Sus scrofa: one gene and its partner. The protein of the gene in region 1 interacts with the protein of each later gene in a biochemical or structural test. Links are inferred from orthologs where the notes say so. Each region holds a gene or a part of one and is shown on either strand. Other genes may lie near its edges.

Region 1 (3,568 bases):
CTTGTAAGTCCTTTCTTTCATTTAAAATATGATATATCCTCACTTACTAAAGACTAAATTTTTGAAAACTTAAAAGTTGATGATTAATAAAAAGGAAATATGTGTATATATATGTTATATATAAAAGTATTTGTATTTCAGTATCAATAGTCATATTTAAAGACTAATGGCCAGAATATCTTAAATATGGTCATTTAGGAATGTCTGAAGATCACTCAGAAAAGAAGGCTTTAATTTCCCTTACCCTAAATAGGACATGAAATATGAAGGAATAAAGTATATTATACATATGTCCAGAATGATTTCCTTTTAAAAAGTATTGTTTTCAAAAAAGCTGTAACAGTGTAAGTCACATTTGTCAAGCTAAATAGGTGTATTGGAGGAAGAGAAACCTAATTCTTTGCAAACATTGAGATATGATACTTATTTTGTATTGGCCTAAAGAAGAGACTAAACAATAGCCCTCTTTACTACACAGTTGTAATAAATTAAGACTTAAGCACAGACTAAGAAACAATCCACAGCTTCTCCTTTGCTTCTGATAAAGGCTCTGTGGAGGATATTGCTCAGTGTGAGAATGAATGGTCCTCACTGACCCCCAGAATTAAACAAGCCTGTCTGCCAGTCACAGCCACTCTGGACTCTGGGCACTGGGCAGGTAGAGCCTAAGGGCTGCTGTCTAGAGTTGCAGAGCAGATCTGCTCTCAGCAACAGTTGGCTGTAAAGAAGAAAAAGGGAAGGGCTGCCTTTGGCATGTCCATTCATTCTTAAATATCCAAATCACATAAATCCCCTGCACCTTCCCAAAAAAAAGTGATAAGGAGGGAGAAAATCCAGGAGCCAAACACTAAAAAGGGCTCTAAGTTAAAAGGAAACTTGATGCAGAGTTCCCGTCGTGGCACAGTGGTTAACGAATCCAACTAGAAACCATGAGGTTGCAGGTTCGATCCCTGGCCTCGCTCAGTGAGTTAAAGATCCAGCATTGCCCTGAGCTGTGGTGTAGGTTGCAGACACGGCTCGGATCCCGAGTTGCTGTGGCTGTGGTATAGGCTGGCAGCTACAGCTACCCCTAGCCTGGGAACCTCCATATGCCGTGGGTACAGCCCTGGAAAAAGATTTTAAAAAAAAAAAAGGAAACTTGATGCAACTAGAGATTATCATACTAAATGAAGTAAGTCAGATCAAGATAAACACCATGACATCACTTATATGTGGAATCTAAAATATGGCACAAATGAATCTATACACAAAACAGAAACAGACTCACAAACAGAGAGAACAGATTTGTGGTTGCCGAGGGGGAGGGGGAAGGAGAGAGAGATGGAGTCCAGGTTTGGGGTTAGTGGATGCAGACTATTATATTTAGAAAGAATAAACAACAAGGTCCTACTGTATGGCACAGGGAATTCTATCCAACCTCCTGGGATAGACCATAGTGGAAAAGAATATAAAAATAAATGTATATTTGAGTCCCTTTGCTAAATAGCAGTAATTGACACAACACAATAAATCAACAAAACCTTAATAAAATTTTTTTAAGTTAAAAAAGAAATTTGAAGGACGCTTAGCAGTGTTTGTAGGAATACTTCGTTAAGTAACTATCCTTTCAGACTGATTTTTAAGTGTATTGGTGAGGAATATAGAATTCCTATTATTACTCTACAATCTTGTTTTTTTAGTCCTGGGTAAAGGATTACCTACTCAAACCATGATTCATCAGAGAACAGTACTTATTAAGATGTTTTGTCATCGGTGTTGTGACTTTTGCTGATTTCATTAATAACACTTACTGACTTCACAGGACCTAGATATTGATCCAAAAGATGCAAATAAAGAGACACCTGAAGAAACTGGCAGCTATTTAGTATCAAAGGAACTTCCCAAGCATTGCCTCTATACCAGACTCAGCTCCCTGCAAAAATTAAAGGTTATTGCTATTTCCTGTTTATAACTACTAAGGGAAAACTATGAAAGTGAAAATCCATTTTTGCCTGTGAACCCTTGGTCCATAGATGTGCTGCTTCATTGCATTGTAAACTGAAATAGAGATGATGGCTATAGGGCGAGTCTCATCACTGACCTTTCTCAACTGTAACCCATCCCCGATGATGGCCCGAGGATTTGGGTGTGAGAATGCATGTAGTTATCTTCCAAACTGTTAAAACATTAGAGACAAAGAACATAGTCTACTTTTAAATATCTTAGCATTTTCAAATAAGCACTTCCTAGTTCTGTGACTTTCTGCAAAACAAATTCAAATTGGAATTTATTTGAATCTTTTTTCATTTCTTGTTAATCTTACAAATGAGAAATGACATGGTACATGGTCTATAGCGTTGCGCTTTCTAATATTCTAATATTCTTGATGAACCTGAGTTTTTATTTATAGCTGCATGACCATGGAATGTATTAGCCTGAACTTGGGGAATGAAGTGGGCTCTACTGACAGTGACACAAGGACAACTGTCAGAGAAACCTGTTGTCACCCTGTTTATGGCTCATCCACTTAAACTCTCCTTGTATCTTTGCAATTTAGTCCATTTTATGATTCAGTTATAGTTTCCCACTTATGGTTGGGATTATTTGACAGTATTTTTAAAATAGCTAAACTTTTGACTTAGATGTAATGCCGATCATTTCATTAAAAGGTCATTGATTGCCCATCTCCAGTTATGGGGAAAGAGTTTCCCAAGCCCCATTGCTTGGAAAATGCCTTTTCACTCTTCGTCAATAATGTAATACCAGGAGTTCCCGTTGTGGCGCAGCGGAAATGAATCCAACTAGGAACCAAGAGGTTTCGGGTTCGATCCCTGGCCTCGCTCAGTGTAAGGATCTGTCATTGCTGTGAGCTGTGGTGTAGGTTGCAGACACGGCTCAGATCCCATGTTGCTGTGGCTGTGGTGTAGGCCAGCAGCTGTAGCTCCGATTGGACCCCTAGCCTGGGAACCTCCATATGCCACGGGTTCAGCCCTGAAAAGCCAAAAAAAAAAAAGGGAATACCACATCTCTGTGATTTTGGTTACTTTCAATAGTAAGAACCAGAATTCTACCAATTCAAATTACTGTGAGAGAAGGAAGATAATTTTAGCTACCTTTCTTAGTAGAGAAATTTTAAAGGAGGGAATTCCCGTTGTGGCTCAGCAGGTTATGAACCATGAGGATTCAGGTCCAATCCCTGGCCTCACTCGGTGGGTTAAGTATCCGGTGTTGCCATGAGCTGCAGTGCAGGTCACAGACGTGGCTCAGATCCTGTGTTGCGGTGGCTGTGGCGTAGGCCGGCAGCAGCAGCTCCAGTTCAACACCTTCTATACGCCACAGGTGCAGCCTAAAAAGCAAAAAAAAAAAAAAAAAAAGTAAAGGATACCCTGAAGGTTTGGAACCTGGGAAGGGGGAGTAAGAGTGGGTTTGATGTTGTTCGATTTTGCCTGTATTTGTGTGTGTGAATGATAATCTAAGACTGATGTACTTTCATGGTTGATAAAAATGGCAAACCTTACTTTTTCTTTTCAGGAACATCTTGTCTTCACAGTATGTTTATCATATCAATACTCAGGATTGGAAGATACCA
Region 2 (2,658 bases), on another chromosome or scaffold:
GGCTGAGCTTAGGGGGAAGGCTGGTGGATCGGGCAGAGCCCCGAGGATCTGGACAGGGCTCGAACGTCGGGTCTGGACCTGAAGGTTCGGGTTAAGTTTTTTTGACAAGGGGGCGGGACCTGTGGCAAGCTGCGGGTCTGACGGCGCGAGTTCGGGCCGATGGCGGGGGCAGGGCGAGGCCTGAGGCCCGGCAAGCAGACGGGGTGCGGGGCGGGCGGCCCTCGGGGCCAGGGCCGAGCGGAGGTTCACAGCAGAACGGAGAGAGGCTGAGGCAAGGGCGAAGCTGGGCTGACGTCTACCAGAAGCCAGGAGACCGGGGCCCGCCGCCTGCACTCACCGGCTCGTCGCCGCCTCCCACCTCTGCGCTCTCGCGCGGCCCGCACCGGAAACGGAAGTGGGCGGTGGAGGGGAAGGGGGACACGGTGCGGCGGAGGCGCGCTTCCGCCGACGCGAGGGGCGGGTCCAAGGTTAGGGTGTGGACGGAGGGGCGGGGCCTGGAGGAGGGCGGAGCGGAACCGAGAGCCAAGGGACTTTGTACCCAAGGAGCCGGGGAATTTTCTCAAGTGCAGAAGAGATGAGACCCCCCCCGGGCTCAAAAATTCGTCTTTATTGGGAAGACTGTGAACAATTACCCCCCCCACCTTCAGGCGTGGGGAGGGAGGGCTAGGGATCTGCGCCCCCCTCCCCTATTTACACTTTAGAATCCGCCGGGAGAAGGCACCCCAGCTGAGGCAACTTTAAAGAGCTAGTATTTGGAAGCCAAACCCCTTTTCCTCTCCAGACTCAGTTTTCTCATTTGTAAAATGGGCTCAAGGGAAACCGATGCTACGGCGTTTCTCTCCAGCACTGAAGATGTCCGATTAGGAAGGATGAGGACGTCGGAAGACGGACCAAGGGCAGCCCAAGGGGATGGGGGTGCTGGACATCCCGGTTGGGTTTGCACGGCCCCTTCCACCACCCTCCCCACCCAGTGCCTCTCCTCCAGTGCCGCAGGGGCTACGTGGCCTCAGGCCCGGGGGACAGGAGGCCGCTTCCAAAGCCCCCCTCGCGGTACTGGTTGGGGAACATGTTGCTGCCCACGAGGCTGGCAGTGCCTCCATCCCCGGAGCCCGGGGCCTGGTACGAGTCCAGCGTCAGCGGCTCAGGGCCCGGGGGCTCCGCGACCGGGGCCCCTGCCCCCCCGTTGCCCGCGACAGCGCTGGAGAGTGGTGGCGCTGGGGGCAGCATGTCCAGCATGGTGAAGAGTGTGGGGGCAGCAGGGTCATAGGCAAAACCATCGTCCAGGAGATCCGGCCCGCCGGGGGGCTCCAGGCCAGGGAGGGATACAGTGCCTGGGAAGAAGTCTGTGTCTGGCAGCAGCGCTGACGGTGGGAGGAACGGGCCTGCAGGGAGGAGGAGAAAGAAGGAAATAGGGTGGACTTTGAGGATCAGCCTCCTGCCGGGTCCTAACTCAAATGCCCAGTCTGTTACTAAATGCATTTTCAGTGCAGTCTCCATTAATGTCAAGAAGAAAACCCTCAGTAAAAGCTATCACCATTCTCTCTTTTTTCTCTTTTTGGTTACCATAAAATTTTTTTTGAGGTATAGCTGATGTACAATATTGTATGTTTCCAGTGCACAACACAGTGATTCACAATTTTTTAAGGTTATATTCCACAGTTATTATAAAATTCCCTGGACTGCACAATATGTCCTTGTGCTTATTTTTATTTTTTAAATTTTATTTATTTATTTTTGCTTCTTAGGGCCGCACCTGCAGCATATGGAAGTTCCCAAGCTAGGGGTCCAATCAGAGCTACAGCCGTCGGCCACAGCCACAGCCATAGCAACACAGGATCCAAGCCATGTCTGTGATCTACACCACAGCTCATGGCAATGCCAGATCCCTGACCTGCTGAGCGAGGCCAGGGATCAAACCCAAATCCGCATGGACTCGAGTCAGATTCGTTTCCGCTGCACGACACTGGGAAGTCCCTATTTATTTTATACATAGTGGTTTGTACCTCTTAATCCCCTACCCTCTCTTCTCCCTCCCCCCTGCCCTCTCCCAGCTGGTAACCACTAGTTCTCTATATATCTGTGAATCTGCTTCTTTTTTTATTTTCACTAGCTTGTTTTCTTTTTTAGATTTCACATGTAAGTGATATCATACAGTCTTTGTCTTCCTCTGATTTATTTCACTAAGCATAATATCCTCCAAGTCTATCCATGTTGTTGCAAAGGGCAATTTTTCACTTTTTATGGCGAGTAGTATTCCATCGTGTATATATACCATATCTTCTTTATCCATTCAGTTGTTGATGGGAACTTAAGTTGCTTACATATCCTGGCTATTGTAAATAGTGCTGCTATGAACCCTGGAGTTCATGTATTTTTTTTCTGAATTAGTGGAGTGGAATTGCTGGTTCGTATGGTATTTGCAAGTGAGATGCCAAATCAGGGGTTAGTATCCAAAATATATAAATAGTTCATACAACTCAACATCATAAAAACAACTGATTTAAAAATGGGCAGAAGACCTGACAGACATTTTTCCAAAGAAGAGATACAGATGGCCGACAGGCACATGAAAAGATGTTCAACATCGTTAACCATCAGAGAAATGCAAATCAAAACCACAATGAGATATCACCTCACACCTGTCAGAAGGGCTATCGG

What was found. The genes of interacting proteins can lie anywhere in the genome.
Region 2: of the proteins of MALT1 (region 1) and RELB, one has a biochemical effect on the other in vitro, tested with the Homo sapiens proteins (2 studies listed by BioGRID). The link is inferred for Sus scrofa from reciprocal best matches to the Homo sapiens genes MALT1 and RELB.

The regions. Positions count from the first base shown.
Region 1 is NC_010443.5:162,082,401-162,085,968, reverse strand, and holds part of MALT1 (mucosa-associated lymphoid tissue lymphoma translocation protein 1), read left to right. Parts: coding exon 1-3; intron 4-1,801; coding exon 1,802-1,927; intron 1,928-3,510; coding exon 3,511-3,568. UniProt on the Homo sapiens protein: Protease that enhances BCL10-induced activation: acts via formation of CBM complexes that channel adaptive and innate immune signaling downstream of CARD domain-containing proteins (CARD9, CARD11 and CARD14) to activate NF-kappa-B and MAP kinase p38 pathways which stimulate expression of genes encoding pro-inflammatory cytokines and chemokines.
Region 2 is NC_010448.4:51,478,257-51,480,914, reverse strand, and holds the end of RELB (transcription factor RelB), read right to left. Parts: intron 1,383-2,658; coding exon 997-1,382; 3' UTR 565-996; downstream 1-564.